Linked DNA regions of Cricetulus griseus. The main gene of each other region encodes a partner of the protein of the gene in region 3 in a complex. Links are inferred from orthologs where the notes say so. Each region holds a gene or a part of one and is shown on either strand. Other genes may lie near its edges.

Region 1 (4,170 bases), on a different chromosome or scaffold from region 3:
AAGCAGACTGCAAGGGTCTATTAAATTATTCTCCAACTGTTGTGCAGCTAACAATGGAGGTATTCAGGCATTTTAAAAGAGAGGGAAGTCACAGGGGACAGCCATTAGGAGGAACAGGATGTCTACATGGCCTGAAAATGAGTTCCTTTGTAATAGGAAATGCACTACAATGCCTGGAGATTCGCTTCTCTTAGGCTCCTAGCCCACAGTTCTTCCTGCTAGATATCAGGTTACCCAGAGTCTCACTGTTACCAGCAAGCACACTGCAGTATCATTCAACCGGGTAACATTCAGTATTCACACTGCTTTCCAACAACTAACTTGGGTGTCCTAAAATAACTCCTGGGTCTTTTTCAAAATTATAATAAAGTGAAGTGCTTCTCTTTACTCACACCCTCGTCTAGAAACATATAAAAACACTGATTGGGAACAGCCTCCTTTTAAAAGTACGAATTAATGTTTCATCAAACAGACCCATGATCTGCTATGTCAAAGGGCCCTGTTTCCCTTTAGCAAAAAGGTAAACCACAATTTAAAACCCTCTAGGAACAATAGAGACCTGCAGTCCAGCAAAATAGCTTGCAGGAAAAGAGATTATCATCTTCAACTCTATGAATGACTGTAAATTAGTCTCACCTATGAAAGAGATGGCCTCAGGGAAAAACTGGGACAGGTTTTGGCTCCAGTGATCCGAAATAGGGATTTGCTTGTATTTGAACTCCCCTGCATTCTCAAAGAGGTTGGGCAAATTGGGGGTGACATTCAAGATGTACTTGATGCCAAACTCCTCCAACACGTCCAAATTGGTAGAGTCCTTGGCACAGCCCAGGTAAAGGAAGGGCAAAATCTCCACCGGGAAGGAAGGCTGGCTGTTGGACAGCGGGCTGCCATCCGAGTCCGTTGCACTGTTGGGGTCTCGGTCAAGGTCAGACTCAATGTCTGAGGAAGAGTCGGAGCTGATCCTCAGGCCCCCGAGACCCAGCACTGGCAAGGGCGGGGAGCTACTGCTGCACGAGCCGTCTAGATTGGTCTCGCAGTGCAGGGAGAACTCGGCCTGGAACTTACTGAAGCCACCTGCCAGAACAAGAAAAGCAATCTTGTAACCAGAGATGCAGTAGTAATTTTCAGCCTGTGAGAACCGCAGCTGGGTGCAGGAAACACTACAGGCCCAATGAACCTCCTGCAGTCCTAAGAGACTTCAGTATGCACCTTTAGAAACACAACCGGCTGCTCTCCCCCCCCCCCGAACTCTTTAATTCATCTGAATCCGGAAATGCACAAAATGATAACTTTTCTTAATATTTCGACCCCCAGCCACCTTTCCAGTTTTCCAGATATTTGAAATCGAACCAAAGAAATCGTGGGGAACGTAGAGGTGCCTGGTTATACAGAACCCTTGGCGGAGGGGGGTGGAGTACCAGAAAGGAGGCTACCACGGGGGCCCAGCTTCCCTAAGCCGAACGCACGCCGTGGTCCCTACCTCGCCGGCGGCTTCCCCAGCATGCAACCTTACCCGAGAGTTCTGCACCCTGGGTGCACAACGTACCTTCCAGGTAGAACGCCCGGCAGCCCTCGTCTTTGAGTTTCTTGAGCAGCAGCCCGAGGACCGACTCGCCACCTGTGTTCTCATTCCAGTCGCTGCTGTTCTCGTCGTAGAGCACCACGGTGTCGGTGCCGCAGCGTCTGGTAAAGCGGTCCCGGTCCTCGCAGCGCGTGAAGAGCGCGCGCACCGGCAGGTTGCCTTTCTGCAGACGCCGCAGCATGATGCCCGGGATGGCCACGTTGATGGCCGTTTCGATGTGCGACGACTCGTACAGCTCCTGCGGTCGGCAGTCCATCAGCAGCAGCCGTTCGTTGCCCAGCTCCAGCTGCTCGTTGAGCCACGCCACCGTCTTGCTGATCGCCATTTCCGACGCGAAGGGCACGGGTCTGAGCGTATCTATCATGGGGGTCGAGCTGCAGGAGAAGGCGGGGTGCCTAGCAGACGCCCCTCAAGGCAGGCATAGGCCAAGCACGCTGCGCGAAGCTGCCGCTCTCGGAGCGGGGTTCGATTCTGCCTCGCCTTTCCCAAGCCGAGGCTAGCGGTTAGGGAAAGCGACCCAGGAGCCAAGCCGGTGGTCCCTCTGCACCGGGCTGCAGGGATCACTCTTAGAATCTCTCTGAAAAGATACCCAGTTTTGTTCCTCCTCAGTGAATGAAATCCAATTAATTCGGACTCCGTGCCACTGAGAGAGGAAAAAGAAAACAAAACAAAAAGTCTAGCGGCTCCTAACCCTTGCTTTCCTGTGAGGCTGCAGTTCAGATCCAACCCGGTTGGATTCAAGACTCCGTTTGCCCACAGTCCCCAGGACTCGGCGAGAGCACACCCCCTGCGCGAGGCAGCTCCTCAATGGATACAAACAGCCAGCGTCTCAATGGATACATTCTCTCGGCCAGCCAATGAGAGCGCTGCGGAAGGGGCTGTTGCCGTGGGGACGGGCCGGCTGGAACAGGTTGTGTTGATGAATTGTTAATGAGTTTGTCATTCACAAAAACGGAAAGGAATTTCCGCTCCGGATAAGCCCCAGTGCAAACAAGCTGCAACTGCGGGCTCGGCGGGAGGAAGGAGAAAGAAGAGGAGGCGGTGGTGGAGGAGGAGCAGGGCAGATAAACCAGGGCACTTCAGTTGTCTCGTGTTTCCTTCGGTTGAGAGTTCGCACTTTGCGTCGAAGTCTTTGCGCACCAGTGGTGCAATTAACAACTACAAAAGCCCTTTTTCGCGACGCTTGCGCTCTCTCAAACTAGCTTTAATAAAACTTGGTGGCTCCCCCCCCTTTGTTTTTATTCCCTTAAAACTCTAGACCCGCCAGAGCCCCTCTCCCCGTCCTCCTTGAGATCATGTGTGGCATTTGTTTGGCTCTTTTAAAAGTCTAGTTGTTTGTTCTCATGTTCTTTTAGCCGAGGCTGTGTTGGGGCTGGTGAACTGCCTGGGCTTTAGTGACCCGACGAAGTGTTAAATGCTAATCCAAAGTCTTTCGAAACAAACTAGGGTTTTGTTGAAACATTTTAAAGCAAGTAAGCAAACAAGCATTTGGTTGTCCAGAAAACCAGAAGCTCCCCAACCACGAGTTTTCTCAACTTTTTTTTTTGGGGGGGGAGGGGGTAGCCCTACACTTTTCTTTTGCTCTGGTGGCGTGGGGGTATTCTAAGCCATTGTTCCGAAGATCTTGCTCCCCACCACCGGTCACCCACCGAGCCTGGGGAGTCGTGCTCCTTTGGGGCCGGGAGCCGAAGTTTGCCTTCTAAGAGGAACCGGTCTGGCAAGCCAGCCTAAGTGTCTGGCTTCACCAAGGATCCCCGCAAGCGGGGAGACGAGGCGCAGTCCTCCCGCAAGACCTGCAGGCTGCGGGAACGCAAGTGAAAGCGGCGACTGGCAGCTGTGGACACCGAGGCCGGTGCCCTACCCCTCCTTGGTTAAGCGGTGCTGGAGCCCCGCACAGAGCACTCTAGAAGCTCCAAACGCGCTTGCGCGCTGCGCTTCTGGCCACAGCCCCGGCGCTCTGGGGAGGGGGTCACCGGGACCACCCCGTGATCGCCTATAGGGCCAGCGCAGAACTGTCGCCTTGGGAGAAAACTAGTACAGATTTAGAGCTTTACCCAGAGGAGGCCGCGTCTGGACCCCTGGGTTCCCAAGTTAGGGTGGGGAGTTTCAAGGACAACCTCCGCTGCCCGTACCACCCGCAGGCAACTTAGGACGGAGGCGGCGCGGCTCCGGAGCCGGATGGAGGCGTGGCCGGCGGGGGCCGCGACGGCGACGAGGGCGCATTCCCGGCGCGCACAGCTCTATTGTTATATAAAAGTGCCGAGGCCGCCCCTCCCGGACGGAAAACCACCTGTGTGCGGCGGCGGCGGGCCCTGCGGAAGGCGCGGGTCCCGATCCGGTCTGCCCTCCCGGCCCCACGGAAAGGAATCGCTCATTGTCCGGCCGCAGTCGGGAGGCGGAAGCGCGGGCTGCGGCCCTTCCCGAATCCGGGGCGCGGAGGGCGCCTAAGGTCACCGGGTCTCCCCAGCCGGGCGCCGCGCATCCCGGTCCTACCTGCTGTCACCCGCAATGCAATTTGCATTGTGAATCACCCTCCTCCTCCTCCTCCTCCGGGGTTTGGGAAATGTGGGCTAAACGGGGCGACTTCA
Region 2 (3,943 bases), on a different chromosome or scaffold from region 3:
CCTTCATATTTGAGTGTGAGTGTGTGTGTGTGTGTGTGTGTGTAGGCCAGAGGACAACCTCAGATGTCATTCTTTAGGAGACATCCATCTGGTCCCCAAACCTTTTATTTTGTGCATGTATGAGCATGTGCATGCATGGTGTGCTTGTGGAGGTCAGAAGACCATGTGCCTTTGGCTACTGAGCCATCTTACAAGTCCCCAGGGATCTACCTGTCTCTGCTACCCCAGAGCTGGAAATATTGGCACTGCCCTCACAGCCATTTTTTTTTTAAATTTGTGTTCTAGGAATTGAATACATACATCCAATTCACACTCTTGCAAAGCAAGGGCTTTACTGACAGCTATTTCTTTTACCACACCATCCCCTTATGTTGAGTTATGGTCTCACTCTATTGTTCAGGCTGATCTGGAACTTGAGATTCTCTTGTTTCTATCTCTTAACGGCTGGCAGGTGTGTGCCCTGAGCCTGGCTTAACCACAATTTTCTGTTGCATCATTCAGACTATGGGACATCAGGAGGGCAGAGGTCTTGTTTACTGTTGGAGCTCAGTGCCCAGTACTGAGATTTTTTTTTTTTTCCCCTCCGAAACAGGGTTTCTCTGTGGCTTTGGAGGCTGTCCTGGAACTCGCTCTTGTAGACCAGGCTGGTCTCGAACTCACAGAGATCCACCTGCCTCTGCCGCCCGGTGCAAAGAGCACTATTTAGTGTAGACTACGCAAATTACAGAAGAATAGGTGCTCCTGTCGCTTCTTGGGGTACAAAGATGATAGCCATGCCTCCCTCCCACAAAGGACCCGTGGTTCAGTGGAAGGTGACGGGTGTGGCTGGAGGGGGACTTGGGAAGGCACCAAAAGGAGTAGCTATTCCCTTTGACAAGAGGCTGCCTGATGCCCTAAATCCTGTCTGAGGGCTCTGTCTTAGGAATAGTCACCTCACTCATACGGGGCAGGAATATTTGGACAGACAACTTTCAAAGGAGGCACTTTCATCCGCTTTAAACTGAGTCCGTTTTCAGGGAATAACGGCAGTGTACGGAGCACAGGCGTAAAATGGCCGCTACCAGGACTGCAGGCGCGATCGAAAGTCACGTGACTAAATAGCTTCCGGTCGCCCCGCCCCGCCCCCAGGCTCTCCAGTCCCATTTCCTGGACTCGGGCCGACCACGCTGAGCGAGAGGTTCGGCGCGTCCCGAGGCAGCGAAGCGGCTGTGAGTTGTGAGCGGCCGCAGGCGCATGGAGGGGACCCCGCAGGGGGTGGCGCCCGCCGCGGCGTTGGCCGCTGTGCTCAAGCACAGCTCGGCGTTGCCGCCCGAGAGCGCCCAGGTGCAGGGTTACGACTTCAACCGCGGCGTGGATTATCACGCCCTTCTGGAGGCCTTCGGCACCACCGGATTCCAGGCTACCAACTTTGGACGCGCGGTGCAGCAAGTCAACGCCATGGTAAGGCCGGGTCCGCCCAGGAGCGGGACGAGAGGGTGGGCCGCCCCGCCAGCCCGCGTTCTCTCCTGAGTGTCCTGTAAATTTGTGTTCTGGGATGGGGGGATAGGGGTTAATAGAAGAGCATTACAGGAGGAGCTTAACGCCCGGAGAGCCTTGGAGTCACTTTTCCCAGTGTAAGGAGACTTGAAAAGAAGACACTGTGTGGTTCCTAGTGACATCCCTAAGTGACAGACCTGGACTGGGGAAGGCAGGGCTAGGATCTGCACAGCGGCTGTGCTTTGGTTTTGAAGTAGTCCTGAATCCTTGAGTACAATCAAACTCTGGAATCCAGGCCGCCTGGGGTTCCTCGACTGAGGTTTGGAGTCAGTGCAACTTTGCTGTGCCCTCCCTCACGTGCAGATTGAGAAGAAGCTGGAGCCGCTGGCACTAGGTGAAGACCATCATGAGGACCTGACGAAGAGCCGCCGCCCACTCACAGGCTGCACCATTTTCTTGGGCTACACATCCAACCTCATCAGTTCAGGCATCCGTGAGACCATTCGCTACCTTGTGCAGCACAACATGGTGAGTCCACACTATGTCTGTGGCCTCAACCTCCTTGGGCTAATGGATAATAAGGTTACTGCTCATTTCAGAGAAATGGAGAGGGGTCTGAAGAGGTTCAGAGGTTAAGAACCTGCTGAACTTGCTGCTCTTGTGGAAGAAGGTCTGGGTTTGCTTCCCAGCACCCATGAGGTGGCTCACAAATGTCTGCAGCGCCATTTCCAGGAATGTAGGGAAAACACCGCACATATTAAAAAAATTTTTAAAAAAAGGATGTTAGGAGATGGATGTTTGCTTTTGGATGCTGGCAGTCCTTATGCCTGCTGAGTGGTGAGATCACAGGAGTGTGCCACTTTTTCTGGCTATGGGTCTGCTCTAAGCAGAGGAACAGACTTGGGGTCAGGATGAGCTCAGGCTGATGGTAGGAGTGCTGCTGCTTACAGTCAGGGTCAGTGTTGTTGCCTGTGACTACAGGTGGATGTGTTGGTGACCACGGCTGGAGGTGTGGAAGAAGACCTCATCAAGTGCCTGGCACCCACATATCTTGGCGAGTTCAGCCTCAGTGGGAAGGAGCTCCGGGAGAATGGGATCAACAGGTGGGCCCTGAGTAGTGATGGGGGCAGGGAAGCTGGACTGAGGGTCGTGATGACTGATGCCCATGTGCCTCCGATCCCCAGGATTGGGAACCTGCTGGTGCCAAATGATAATTACTGCAAGTTTGAAGACTGGCTCATGCCCATTCTGGACCAGATGGTGCTGGAGCAGAACACAGAGGTAGGGCTGGAAGGGTTCAGGAAGACCTACATAGGAGAGTCATAAGACATATATGGGCTAATACTGATGTTCTCTTCTTGTAGGGTGTCAAGTGGACACCATCCAAGATGATCTCCCGGCTTGGCAAGGAGATCAACAACCCAGAATCTGTGTATTATTGGGCCCATAAGGTGGGTTGGTAGGGATGACATTCCTAGGCTTTGGCATGTGCTGACTTGTTTTGTCTTTGCAGCCACCTGGGAGTCTCTATAATTATTCTTAGTCTTCCCAGACTTAGATGAGGCGTGTCAAACAGAGGCTAGGTAATCTGTCTGTTGGATGAAGGGTTCTGATATCCTAGCTATGCCCTCACACTATTGGGACCACTTAGGTGTAGTGCTTAAGAACTCACTGGGGCCTGACCCAGGGTACCATGCTTCCAGAGACAGTGGAGTTCCAAGAGTGGAAACTAATGAACCACTGCTCAGAGTGCAGACACCTTCTTAGAGGCATGTACAGTTTTCCTCTCATCTGCCTCATGTCCACCAGAGAAGTCAAGCAGCCTGGTCGGGTTGGGAGGGAAGGAGGGAAGGAGGGAGGGATGCCACTGGTTGGCATTTTTTCTGGGTTTGAGCTGTAGCTAACTGGTTGTGTGTCCACACCAGAACCACATTCCTGTGCTGAGCCCTGCGCTCACAGATGGCTCACTGGGTGACATGATCTTCTTCCACTCCTACAAAAACCCAGGCTTAGTTCTGGACATCGTTGAAGGTGAGATGCTAAGGGCCTGGGAGAAGAGGGAGGAGGGCCCAATGAGGCCAGATGCAGACACAGCTCTCTCTCTCAGACCTTCGACTCATCAACATGCAGGCTATTTTCGCCAAGCGCTCTGGGATGATCATCCTTGGTGGAGGTATGGTCAAGCACCACATTGCCAACGCTAACCTCATGGTGAGTGGGGTGGCCCTTGGCAGGTGTCTCTTTTGCAGACATATGGCATGCTAGGCATGGACTACAGCAGTGGACCAGATGGGCCATAATCCCTGTCCTCTTTGGAGTTACTTTGGGGTGAGGCAGTCAGACAGTAGTAAGTGACATGCATGTCAAGTGGCAATAATTCTAAGGACATAAGTAATGTCAGTCAGGCAAGGTGACTATAGTCCCAGCTATTTGGGAGACCGAAGCAGGATGATGGCCTGTACATAGT
Region 3 (4,094 bases):
TCTAAGATCTCATTTGCTGGCCACAGAGGAGTCTGCGTCCAGGGACGACAGGGTAGTAATGCCTGAGAGACAAACTGTGTCATTCACTATCTTACCATTGCTCTCCTTGGCACCCACCTACTTTAAGATTACAATTTTCTTCGGGTTCATTCGTGTTTCTGACTGGTTCTGACCCACAACTTGTTCAGATGTTTCAGCCATTCTAACTGTGCTATATTTCAGTACGCCCATCTGGGTTTCTGCTCATCTGTACCAAGCTGGTGTTGTGTGACAAAACACTTCTTGAGAAGACACAATACACACCTAGTCACTACAGATGAGTATGGATACCAGCAAAGTTGAAGAGTGTCCTCCAGCTATTTAAGTTGGTCTAGACCTCTTCCAGGCAGGAGGCAGGAGGCTGATTTCTGCTTCTTCTAAGCAGTTTGGCTGAGTCTTCTTTGCAGCTCCGTGGAGTTCATCGAACAGGGATTCTCAACTTTTATTGCTTACTCCAGCAAGGAGTAACCCGGTGAATCTGGTCAGTTTCAAGGACTCCCAAAGTTCCTTTGTGCCGTTTACTTTCCTGTTTAAGGAGTTTCTCTGCAGGATAGAATGTTTCAATCTCGCAGGAAACGGTTACACAACACCTGGGTCCAGTCCCTGGATTTCAGTCTTTCTCCAGCGTCCTCACCCACAACTCTGTAAACCTTCCCTCCAGTTTTTAATTGTTCACAGCACTTAGTTAAGTGAGCATCGTATTTGTCTGTCTCTTCACCCTAGAAGGGAGAAGTATTCAGCAAATCTTCTTGAACAAACCTCTAATTAGGGGATTCAATGCCTTGTGTTTTGGTTTCCACTTATGTCTCACACTTTTTAGGTGTGAAAATATCTTTCTGAGTCTGGGTCATGCTTTTTGGTTTCTGTCCCAGTTTGGCAGTCTAAGTTCATTAGTGTGAGGGCCACGGATTCCCAGAGGCCTGTCTCAGGGGTCCATTGCTTGGTGTATGCTGAGTCCTCCGGTCTCACGCCAAGTGCCTGGTTCCACATGAGTTCGTCCTGGGCACCGCACAGCGGTCGGACACACTGTGGGGTCGTTACGCCCAGGTTTCCACCAGGCTTTCAAGAGCCACCAAACAAACTGAACGCCCGGTTCTCCAAACGCACGTGACGGCCCTCCCCCGCAGCCGCAGTGCTCCTGCCTCAGTTCGCTGCTTCCGCCGGCCCTCGAGACCCCGCCCAGCGCCGCGAGGAGCCAATCAGCGCTCACGCCCTTGACTCCGCCCCAGCGCCCCTCGACGCCAGCCCCTCCCTCCTCCCGCTCGCTGCCCGCCCGTCAGGCAGGAAGGCAGGCAGTGGTTCACTGGCGGTCAGTTCTTTGCTCTGTGTTGTCTTCGTTCCGCGTTCCCGGTCGCGGGCGGCGGCGGCTACACGGGTGGCAGCGCGGTCCCTGCGGGAGGCGCTGCACAAGCCGAGCGGCGGCCGCGAAGCGTCGAGCCCAGCGCGGCGGCGGCGACTAGGCAGCCAACATGGCGGCGGCGGCGGCGGCGGGCCCGGAGATGGTCCGCGGGCAGGTGTTCGACGTGGGGCCGCGCTACACCAACCTCTCGTACATCGGAGAGGGCGCCTACGGCATGGTTTGGTGAGTGTCTACTCCGGTTTGCAAGCTCGGCCTCACCCGGTCACCCCTGCCTGTGCCCCTGGCTGTTCTGGACGCAGCCGCGGCCCTTCCCGCGCCTTGGCCTCGCGTTCTGCAGCGACCTGGACCCCTGACTCCTCTTTGGTCCACAATCACGGAGCCCGTCGAGGCTTAGTTGTTGCTGGGGTGCTTCCTGGGCTGCCCCTCGTTTGCCGTTGGAGGGGCACCCCACACTGAGGTCAGGACCCGAGGACTTGGTCTCAAGCTCGTACTTTGGAGTCTTCTCCCTTGGGACGGGAACGGAAGTGCACCGTGTCCCCTAATTTATGGCATTATAGCCGCCTTCTTTGACATTAGATCGTAAAACCAGGAATTCCATCACAGGCTTGTCGGTGGTGGTGGAGGCGGCCGTGGTTTTGCAAGCGAGAATCCTCGGCTTGTGTGCTGAACACCAAAATATTTTTCTTCCCTTCCTTGTGTATACGTGAACAGCTTTCACAAAATATCTTCAGTGGAGCTAATGATGCGTTCCAACTTAGGCTTTCTAAAAAGCATTAATGACACCAGCGTTGGTTGTGAGGATATTTAAATCTTGAAGTTTCAAAATGGATGTAAATATCGTTGCGTTGCAGGAAGGATAAGCTAGCATCACTCTTAAAGAGTTATTAAGATGTATTTGGAATTGGGCCTAATTTGACTTTAACTCCTTCGTTACCATCGAGTATTTTCAGACCTAATTTTGCATGGTCACTTGTAGGATTTCTCACCTGATTGTGGAATGATGAAGTGTGTTGTTTTTACTGGAACAAGTATTTGTGTTTTGTACTGAAAACTTGTGGGAGTAGGTTTTCTTACCCCTAAATTTGTGTCTTTTGTGCTAAATGAAGAAAACTAATTTATTGAAGGTCTCTGAGATACTCTGCTATCCGAATAGTTTAATTTTGTCTGGATAGCCATCTTGAGGAAAAAGATACCCTCTTTCAGATAAGGTATAGAAAGGAAGTCCTTTCCCAAGGGCGAAGGACTAGAACCAGGCTCTGATTATAGACAGATCCTGTTTCAAATGCTGCAGCTCTTCAGTCATTACACATGCCTTTCTTTAATGTTAGTAATAATCTTGGAACTTTAGCATATTTTCCTGATGAGCAAGTCTATTTCAGAAATGCATTCAAATTTGAATGGTCATAATTTTAGAAATGGTAGGAAAGACGTGTTTTCCACCAACTGTCTTAACTAGATAGAATAATTAACGTTCTTTTTAAAAAGACTCACAGTGTACAACTATGAAGATAAAGGTGAACTGGTCTTGGGAGTCAAAACAAATTAAATTAGGTCACAATTAAAGACTTATAAAGGAGTACTTAAAAAAGTACTTCCCCTTCACATCTGTCTTGCACATATTGCTGCTCTTGTACCTGCATGCCAGTAACTCTCTTATTATACTGAAGATTGCCAGTTATAGTTTCATTTATTTTAAAAACTAGCTTATTTTAAATAGGCACAAAAATTGAGGATATGTCATTTGGACTCCCCACAACCACCTCTGTTTGATAAGATGGATTATTTAGATTCTGGTGCTATTGCTGCTGTGGAGTTACTTAACCTTTGAAGTTTACAGCTGCTGTGCAAAGTTCTCTTTAAAATTCAAATTTTAGGGGCTGGGGAGATGACTCAGCAGTGAAGAGCAGTTGCAGCTCTGGGTTCTAGTCCCAGTACCCACCTGCAAGCTCACAACTGTCAGTAACTCCAGTTCTAGAGGATCAGATGTTCCTTAGACACAAATTTGAGGGAAATACCCATATTTGTGAAATAAATTAAATTTAAAAATACAAATTTTAATTTTAAGAAAAGTGTAGACCAGGTGGTGGTGGCGGCATACACCTCTAATCCCAGGAGGCGAGGCAGAGGCATGTGTTCTGTGAGTTCAGGCCAGCCTGGTCTACAAAGGGAGTGCCAGGACAGGCTCCAAAGCTACACAGAGAAACTCTGTCTCAAAAAAAAAAAACAAACAAATAAAAAATGCAGGTACAATTGGAATTTGAATCCTGGATCCATCCTTTTATCTCCAGGTTGATAACATCTTAGTATTTGTAGAATATTTTTAATTATAGGTCATTAGCATTTGATCATTAGCTGGGTTTATGGAGAACATCTTGACCTTAAATGCCTGCTTGAATAGTTGTGATCTTTTAAAAAGCTAGGCTTAACAATCAAGACCATCTTCAGATCCCAGCATCTACATTAGGTGACCCTCTGACTTCCAAGGGCATCTGCACATATGTGGTTCAAAGAAAACTCATATGTACATAAACATACTAAAAAAATAATTTTAAAAACCATGAAAAAATGTTTAAGGGATTTTCAGCTATCCTTTAGCAGGGTTTTCCCTAAAGTAGTTCATTGGAAATTGTGCCTATTTTGGTTAGATTCCCCTTCCTTATGTAGAAGACAAAAAGATAAGATTGGGTGGTGGGTG
Region 4 (4,261 bases), on a different chromosome or scaffold from region 3:
TTCCTCCACCTCACCCCTGTGGTGTCCTCACTTCCTTTTCTTCATTGTCATCAACAGCTGGCCCAGGGCGGGTGGCCCTCGGTCTCCACTCCCAGCCCTCCACTATCTGCCAGGGCACTAACACCCCTGTGGGGAGGTCAAGGCAGAGCCCAGGCTCCAGTCACTGTACACAAGTGTGCAGGAATTCCCAGGCTCCTGCTTCTATCACGTCGTCATCTTGGCACAAGAGCCGGCCCTTACCTCCCAGCTCTCCTGAGCTTCCTCCTCAGGAAAGCCCACCTATTCCTCTGAGGAGAACAGGCTACGAAGAAGAGGGAGCCAGAATCAACCAGCCCTGGAGAGGTTGCAGAGAGTCATCCTCTGACTTACTGCCAAAAACAAACACAGGTGTCCCAAGCCTTCTGATCTCAAAAGGTCATGCCTGGTCCTCACCTCCTCCCCACGGGCCAGAAGAAGGCCAGCCCCTCCTCCCACCGCCTCTCAGGTGCCACCCCTGTGCCTACTGTACAGAATTTCTTTTTTGGTGTCACCATTTGACAGTTGAATCAGAGAAGTAGGAGGGAGAGAGAGGATAGGGAATGCGAGCTCCGGAGGCCAGGAAGGGTGTTGGGAACATTACAGAGTTTAAAAAAAAAAAAAAGTCTTGCAAGCACACATGAACCTTGAGCCAGTTGGGCCAGCAAGGGGCCTGCCAAAGCCAGACAGGGTGGCGGGGACTGTGGAGCCTTAGACTTGGGGTCTGCTCCCTCCCCACATCCCAAGCATCCAAGTGGTGCAGTGGTGAAGAGGACACTGGAAGTCCCTGATGTGAGGGCCACAGCCTTCAACTATCTCTGTAAGTCTTCTAAGGAGATAGATGCAGGGTTCTGAGACACTCCCCAAGGGGCAGTCTGAGGGGTTCCTAGAAAACAACCCCAGATTCTTCTTCAGTTTAGCTCTACTATCTGTTCGCCAGCAACTAGCCTGTGCCTGCAGGCTGAGGGACTCAGAGCCTGGAGGAGACCCTCCCTTCTTAGCTCTGGGCTCCTCCTTCCTGTATAGAACAAGGAGTCCTCTTTCCCCCACTGTAACTCTGCAGCCCATCTACTATGGCCTGGGCTTGGCCATGAATTGCCAGGCTTTGAAGCTGCAAGGGCTTACAGGGGCAGAATTGAGACATGAAAATAAGTCTCTAGCCAAGGGCTCAACCAGAGGAACTGAAGGTTCCCTATGGTTATCTTCTTAGCAAGGAGATAGAGGGGGGCATGATAAAGAACCTGGAGGTACAGACCTGGAGTGGTCAGGGAAAGCTTCATCCCTTGTCCACTCTCAGAGCCTTTGCACCCAGCACGGATGGCACGGCACCACCAGCTTGCTCTTAGAGGGCACAGGGAGGATGCACCCGACCCCTGGTGGCAGCTGCAGCAGGCGCAGGAGGGCAGCCTGCAGCTGGGTGTGCGTGGGTGGAAGCCAGGAGGGGCGGAGGGAGGAAGCTGGCTTCCTGAAGCCTCTCAGTCCTCAAAGATAGACGGACTGACAGACAGCTGGCAAGAGGCAGCCTGGGGGACACAGCTGCTTCAGTAAGTACTTGAAGTGGGCACAGGCATACTAAGGCCCTGGGGTGGGGAAGCCTTGGAAACAGGAGGGTGTCTCTGAGGATGGAGTGAGGGAGCATGAGTTTGGGGCTACCATGTCTGGCCAGGCATGAGTAGTGGCATATTTGGTGTCCCTGTGGCTGGAGGACAGAAGAGCCATACAGAATGCCTGGAGAAGAGGAGCAAAAGGCCTATTCCTGTCACAGGAGAGTGCTGTCCCCGCCACACCTGCATGGGCCCACACTGTTCCAGGCCTCTGTCCCTGTAGGTTAGCAGCTTTAACACCACCACCACAGCACCTGTGACTTAGTTCTAGGTGACAGGGACTGCCCCCAAAGGAGATGCCCTCGTCACCTCTGTGCCCCCCCCCTCTCTCTCTTGTACCCCCAGCTGTAGCCTCACCATGCGCTGGCGCTCTAAGGCTTGGCGAGGCCATTTCCTGTGACGGTTACAGAGGCGGGAGACTGGGGGATGGGACGGAGGAGGAAGGAAACACCCCTAGCATACTACCCTGGATAGAGACCCCAGAAGCCACAAGTGATCTTAGGGTAGAGCTGCCAGCAATTAGGAAATGACCCTACCAGAAGTGTGGCCTGCCTGGGTCCCCAACTGGTTCCAACGCTACTAGAGGCCTCAGTTTCTCATTCTGGAGAAGCCTGTTGGCAGACTGAGAACGCTGTGGGCTTTCTCCCTTCCTTCTGTGTGGTCGGCAGTCTGTTGTTCTCATTTGGACGCCAGCTTGGAGCCCTGTGGACTTGGGTAACCACTCTCTTCCTCCTTCCGGATTATTTCCTGTCTCTACTCATACCTACACTCTATATCTCCCTCCTCCTCTAACTCCAGATTGTCCCCTGTCCTGCATCCCAACGAAGAGCTCCTGTACTTACAGGATAAAAAAAAAAAAAGTTAGGCCACTTCCTTGGGAAGAGAAGATGCCTCCAGTAAAAACCAATAGGATGGCTGGCCTGGGCTTAGGAGCTCCTTCTAGCCAGTGAGGCAAGTCAGAGGCCAGCAAATATAGGGCCTTGTCTTTCAGGCAGGCCTCATGGCTGAGTGAGCCTTCCTTGAGCCCAGCAATCTAGCCCAGCATGGTCCAGACCTGTGAGGGGTGTTCCAGACCACAGCCACCGACCTTGTCTTTGGGGGAAGCCATGACCCAACCTCCACCCACCAAAGCTCCAGCCAAGAAGCATGTGCGGCTGCAGGAGAGGTGAGGTCTCTCACAGAGAAAGTCTTCCTAGACCTGGGTTGCTTTCTTTCCTTCCTCATACCCAGCCTTCCTGTCCTAACAACAGAGTCCTCAAGGCCTAGAAGGAAAACTAACAGTGTTCATTTGCATGTTGCTTGAGGCACCAAGTTTCATGTCCCAAAGTCTCAAGTTGTGATGAGTGATCTCTGGGACAAGTCCAGGGGCCTTCACAGCATTGGTTTGGAGCCTCTGTGCCAGCCTGGGAGTAGAAGAGGTAGGCAGTAGGAAGAGGCATAAGAGCTGCAGCCTACTCCATTCTATCTGATAAAAGGAAAGGGGAACGTCGTAAGGACCTGACCCCTGAGTGCCCTGAGCCTCTAGGTCAAGAGAAAGACTAATTGTGGCCTCCTAAGACAAGCTCTGTGGCAAGCCAATGACCCAGGATGTTCACTGGGCACTGGATGGCTGTGCTTGCAGAAGGGGCTCCAGTGTGGCTCTGATGCTGGATGTGCGGTCTTTGGGCACTGTGGAACCCATCTGCTCAGTGAACACACCCAGGGAGGTCACCATACACTTTCTGCGCACAGCCGGACACCCCCTTACATGCTGGGGTCTACAGCACCAGCCACCCAGCCCCAAGCAACTGGAGGAGGAATTCTTGGTAAGAAGTTGGGGTCCCCTTCTATATCAGACCATCATGGATTCCTTGGGCCTCTCTTCTCTTTGTGGTCCTTAGGGAACAACTCCAGGGATCAGGAGAGAAGGTTGTCCCCATCCTTGCTCTGTGTGCAGAGGGTGGAAAGGGAGAAAGGGAGGGTGAGAAGGGGGCCAGATGTTAACTCACTTACTCCTCTCACTAGAAGATCCCCTCAAACTTTGTCACCCCTGAAGACCTGGATATCCCTGGCCATGCTTCCAAGGACCGATACAAGACCATCTTGCCAAGTAAGGACCACAGCGGGGGTGAAGGGGTGGTGTCCTTGTGGGTGGAGAACTCTGAAGCTAGGCATACTGGTGCAGGCCTCTAATAACCCTCGCACTTGGAGGCACAAGTAGAGGATCAGGAACACAAGGCCAGTCTTCGCCATATAGCAAGTTCTAGGCTAGCTTGGTTTATATGAGGTCTTGACAAAAATAAATAAAATAAAAATTAAAAAAAAAAAAAACTCACCTCAGCCAAGGAGGAACAACAATGCTTGAGACATCGTCTTTCAACAGAGAAATACTAACACCACCCTGGCAACTAGGAGATAGACAGTGGTTACAAGATAGCATTTGCAGAAGTTTACTGTGGGCCTGTGTGGTAGAGGTGAATTCACACAGACAGACCCAGGCCTTGCACGCCCTGCTTTTCAGAGACTTGAGTCCTGGAGACTACTACAGTGGCTTCCTAAACTGTGGTCTGAATTCAGCCCAGCACATGGGTCCTGCCCTGGGCTGAGCCTCCAGACTCACGGCCTGCCTGAAGAGCCCAAGGCTCTGAGAACACTCATCAAAG
Region 5 (3,509 bases), on a different chromosome or scaffold from region 3:
AGAACAGGTGCATGCTGATCTTTCTAATTTGTTGACACTGTCTACCAATTAAACATGTTAACATGGTCTGGGATTTAGAAGGCTATATGCCTTTCTTTGCTAGTAACTCTTTGTTAGAATCTCCAAGCTTGGGCAAGAGAGATGGAAAAGTGAAATGACTGTTCTTAAATATCACTAAGGTTCCCTGGAATGAGTATTAAATGATTTGGAAATTATTATACAAACAGGAGGCTGGTATAAGTCTGGTTCATTTAAGGGAGTTTCCTTATGACAGGAAGACGGTTTCAAAGCTAAGTAAGGAAATTGATGTTAATCACTTTCAAAACATTCCTAGGATGTTATAAGGAATCTTCACATCATGTATTCCCTGTTATTCTCTCTCTGTCTCTCTGTCTCTGTCTCTGTGTCTCTGTCTCTGTCTCTCTCTGTCTCTCTCTGTCTCTCTCTCTCTCTGTCTCTCTCTCTCTTTCTCTCTCTCTCTCTCTCTCTCTCTCTCTGTGTGTGTGTGTGTGTGTGTGTGTGTGTGTGTGTGTGTGTGTGTGTGTGCGTATGTGTATTATTAAGAGAGCAATCTAGGTTCCAAATAAAAGGAATCATATCAGTATCTATTCGCAAGATGTTATTGGAGTCCTGTTATTTCCAAGGAAAATGGCTTTCTTTCCTACAGAAGCAAAAGTCAGGTTCAGGCAGTGTCTGGTGGTATTCAGACATCATTTTGCAGCTCTTGATATTTTTCTACCTTAACTGTTGTCGATTTCCAAAAGAATAATTCTTCTTAACTAACTTTAGATATTCAATTACTAAAATGCCTCGTAAAAATCACTGTAGAAGAGTGTTTTTCGACAGGCCAGGATACATTGAAAACAACAACACATGGAAGATAATTTTAAATTTCATGCAATCAATTTGACTTTCACCTTGTACTTGGCACTGGTAGAAAAGCTGGTTCTCCATCGGACAGTGTAAAGTCGCACATCGGATGTTTTTTGGTTCTTCGGGACAGAGTTGTCTGCCCAGCTGACCCTCACAGCCTCATGGGTAAGAGCCACAGCCTGTACACCTACTGGTGGGAGCATGGGGGTGGAGACATCTGGGCCCGAGGTGGGGAAATCATCAAGCAAAGGATAATAATCAACTGGGTCAGTGGGATCTGGGTTAAAAACCCATCAAATGAAACAAACGAATGTGTAAACAAAGAGTTAAAATAAATACCAGTGGTAACACATCACAATGAGTTAAATGCATGGCAATAAAGATGAAAGGGAACATGAGAAGAACAGAAAAAATGCAATTAATTAAACCATGAAATATAATAAGAACAGTATTGCTATGTTAAAAATGACAGTATTTCCTCATATTTATGTTTAAATAGATTATGTATATCTTAAAAGCCCATCTTGTTTGACTGTTGCACATTGTTTCTTACAAGGTTTAGTTTACTAAATTATCAGCTTCATGATTTATCAAATATTTGAAATAACAATAAAAGTGTTATTTCTGGTGATTTTTTCTGAAATGGAAATAAATGCTATTGGACATCTTAATTTTCTTCTTTATCTTTGATTTTGCTGTGTTTTTATATTCCTTTTACTATTGTCTAGATTATATCTCTATAAATATTGTTCAGTCGACACACAAAATCTATGAAAGAACCTATATATATATATATATATATATATATATATATATATATATATCAGTTATTCTATCAAAGCCAGAGTGAGCACATATGCATGGTCACATGGGTCAATATTCATCTGATGTCTACAAGCTAGTATCAGATGGGGACTGGTAAGCAGGTTTCTTAGGTTGTAATATTAAAGTGTAGAAGTGCTCATCTTCCTGCTTTCTCATGCATAGGTTAGTTCCATTTTCAGTCCAGTCAGGCATTCCTATATTACCTTCCTGATTCTAAAACTGCAAGTGCAGTGGAAAGAATGAACATCATTGATAGGAAGACAAATTAACTACCTTCAGAATGAGAGATTGCCACTGAGATATGCAGGTGCTTTGATCAATAACATGATTGGAATCTGAAGAATGATGTGTGATTGTACAAACTTTCCTAAAACCTTTACACTTATCCTATGCTGGGACAACTACAATCTCAGAAGCTTACATTGTGGTAATAATAATCATTTCATTTTGAGACACTCAAATTTATAGATGGCAGATAAAAAACCGACCTTTATATGACGCAGTAAGGAATCTCACTAACAAAAATTTGAAACTGACAGAATTCTAAGACTGGACAGTTGAAGTCATTTAAGGGAATGAGATCAGAGAGGCAGCAGCAGCTTATACAGTTTATTATTTTAATAACCAAGCTCAAAGCTGAGTTGTTGTTGGCCAGTCTGTTGATTACTGCCTCTTTACCTTGGTTTTCAAATTCTCAGCCCCTATTCACCACTCTGCTTTCCAATGAATTATTAAGCATGTTACTAGCCTGTGGTTTTGGAGAAAATATTTTTAAAACTGAAGACAGAAACAGAACAAAAGGAAAGGAGAGGGAGAGGAAGGAAGAGAGAGAGAGAGAGAGAGAGAGAGAGAGAGAGAGAGAGAGAGAGACAGAAACAGAGAGAGACAGACACAGAGAGACAGAGAGAGAGACAGAGAGAGAGACAGAGAGATAGACAGAGAGACAGAGAGAGAGAGCGCTCTGGGATTAAAATTTGATGACAGAGCCCAGGCTTTCCATATTTCTTTTGATGTCTCTTCTTACTAAAGGCTCCTTTAAAGTCAAATGGATTGATGAAATGATGAAAAGAGAACAGAAGAAGCTGTAGCCTCTACAGGAATTTGAGTCATATAGTAGGTTTGTTTAGCAGGAAAAACTGTTTCTTGCCAAACTACAGCAAGTATTGCCTTTCACATTTGTATTTTTGCCTGATTTTGAAAGAAGAATTTTATGAATAGAGGAAGAATAGTCTAATGTATGAACTACTTTTGACTTCTCCATGTCATGGGCTAGCATGTAGTTTATGTAAACATGGTCTCTCATCCTTTGTAATAAAGTCTTGATCCTATTTAGGAAATGACAAAAGTCAATCCTGCTAGTTATGATTTTTTAAATAAAAATGCTCATGGCTGTTATTTATTGAATATTTTAGAGTCAACTACAGAATAACCCCACTGTATTTAAAGCAATGTTGTCTGTAGTGATTTATCTATGGACGTAATGTGATCCAGAGACTTTTGACAATGGCTAAGTTTTATTTTCTATATTAGTGAATACAATTTATTTTCATCATTCTCCATGGCAATCCCTCTAGAATTTTGCTGCATAATATAACACTATGTTCTATAGCTTTTATCAATTTAAACTACATAAATAATTATTTTGACTATTTACTCATTTTTATGGTGGCCAGTTTCAGTGGTCCTAAGTGCTCAGTCCCCACTTTAAGGATAGAGCAGATAAACTACATTTCTAGCAGAGAAGGGAATTCCAGAGAGCAAGCCATAGTGTGAAAATATGCTACACATGTTGCAAGTGTTCTTTTAATCTC

What was found.
Region 1: the proteins of Mapk1 (region 3) and Dusp6 are in contact, whole or in part, in a crystal structure (PDB 2FYS), measured with the Rattus norvegicus proteins. The link is inferred for Cricetulus griseus from reciprocal best matches to the Homo sapiens genes MAPK1 and DUSP6. Residues at the interface, in NP_446294.1 of Rattus norvegicus: Glu79, Glu107, Thr108, Leu113, Gln117, Leu119, Asp122, His123, Tyr126, Phe127, Gln130, Thr157, Thr158, Cys159, Asp160, Tyr314, Asp316, Asp319; in NP_446335.1 of Rattus norvegicus: Arg64, Arg65, Leu66, Gln67, Lys68, Gly69, Asn70, Leu71, Pro72, Val73, Arg74.
Region 2: the proteins of Mapk1 (region 3) and Dhps are in contact, whole or in part, in a cryo-EM structure (PDB 8PVU), measured with the Homo sapiens proteins. The link is inferred for Cricetulus griseus from reciprocal best matches to the Homo sapiens genes MAPK1 and DHPS. Residues at the interface, in NP_002736.3 of Homo sapiens: Tyr113, Tyr187, Ala189, Thr190, Arg191, Trp192, Arg225, Lys231, His232, Tyr233, Leu234, His239, Lys259; in NP_001921.1 of Homo sapiens: Arg159, Glu160, Asn161, Asn164, Asn173, Glu174, Tyr176, Cys177, Glu180, Asp181, Met184, Asp188, Asp243, Phe247, Tyr250.
Region 4: the proteins of Mapk1 (region 3) and Ptpn7 are in contact, whole or in part, in a crystal structure (PDB 3D42), measured with the Homo sapiens proteins. The link is inferred for Cricetulus griseus from reciprocal best matches to the Homo sapiens genes MAPK1 and PTPN7. Residues at the interface, in NP_002736.3 of Homo sapiens: Thr185, Glu186, Tyr187, Val188; in NP_001351807.1 of Homo sapiens: Arg124, Tyr125, Lys126, Ile128, Asp257, His258, Ser292, Ala293, Gly294, Ile295, Gly296, Arg297, Gln335.
Region 5: the proteins of Mapk1 (region 3) and Dcc are in contact, whole or in part, in a crystal structure (PDB 3O71), measured with the Rattus norvegicus proteins. The link is inferred for Cricetulus griseus from reciprocal best matches to the Homo sapiens genes MAPK1 and DCC. Residues at the interface, in NP_446294.1 of Rattus norvegicus: Glu107, Thr108, Leu113, Gln117, Leu119, Asp122, His123, Tyr126, Phe127, Asn156, Thr157, Thr158, Cys159, Tyr314; in NP_036973.1 of Rattus norvegicus: Arg1149, Pro1150, Pro1151, Asp1152, Leu1153, Trp1154, Ile1155, His1156.

What each region holds. Positions count from the first base shown.
Region 1 is NW_023276806.1:164,932,417-164,936,586, reverse strand, and holds the start of Dusp6 (dual specificity protein phosphatase 6), read right to left. Parts: upstream 2,810-4,170; 5' UTR 1,947-2,809; coding exon 1,547-1,946; intron 1,075-1,546; coding exon 637-1,074; intron 1-636. UniProt on the Homo sapiens protein: Dual specificity protein phosphatase, which mediates dephosphorylation and inactivation of MAP kinases. Has a specificity for the ERK family. Plays an important role in alleviating chronic postoperative pain.
Region 2 is NC_048596.1:159,293,432-159,297,374, reverse strand, and holds the start of Dhps (deoxyhypusine synthase), read left to right. Parts: upstream 1-1,141; 5' UTR 1,142-1,233; coding exon 1,234-1,440; intron 1,441-1,839; coding exon 1,840-2,004; intron 2,005-2,457; coding exon 2,458-2,579; intron 2,580-2,660; coding exon 2,661-2,757; intron 2,758-2,840; coding exon 2,841-2,927; intron 2,928-3,401; coding exon 3,402-3,507; intron 3,508-3,583; coding exon 3,584-3,687; intron 3,688-3,943. UniProt on the Homo sapiens protein: Catalyzes the NAD-dependent oxidative cleavage of spermidine and the subsequent transfer of the butylamine moiety of spermidine to the epsilon-amino group of a critical lysine residue of the eIF-5A precursor protein to form the intermediate deoxyhypusine residue.
Region 3 is NC_048597.1:72,356,859-72,360,952, reverse strand, and holds the start of Mapk1 (mitogen-activated protein kinase 1), read left to right. Parts: upstream 1-1,293; 5' UTR 1,294-1,508; coding exon 1,509-1,621; intron 1,622-4,094. UniProt on the Homo sapiens protein: Serine/threonine kinase which acts as an essential component of the MAP kinase signal transduction pathway. MAPK1/ERK2 and MAPK3/ERK1 are the 2 MAPKs which play an important role in the MAPK/ERK cascade.
Region 4 is NC_048598.1:54,117,287-54,121,547, reverse strand, and holds the start of Ptpn7 (tyrosine-protein phosphatase non-receptor type 7), read left to right. Parts: upstream 1-1,455; 5' UTR 1,456-1,559; intron 1,560-2,610; 5' UTR 2,611-2,662; coding exon 2,663-2,784; intron 2,785-3,240; coding exon 3,241-3,424; intron 3,425-3,623; coding exon 3,624-3,708; intron 3,709-4,261. UniProt on the Homo sapiens protein: Protein phosphatase that acts preferentially on tyrosine-phosphorylated MAPK1. Plays a role in the regulation of T and B-lymphocyte development and signal transduction.
Region 5 is NC_048595.1:168,280,128-168,283,636, reverse strand, and holds part of Dcc (netrin receptor DCC), read right to left. Parts: intron 1,151-3,509; coding exon 918-1,150; intron 1-917. UniProt on the Homo sapiens protein: Receptor for netrin required for axon guidance. Mediates axon attraction of neuronal growth cones in the developing nervous system upon ligand binding. Its association with UNC5 proteins may trigger signaling for axon repulsion.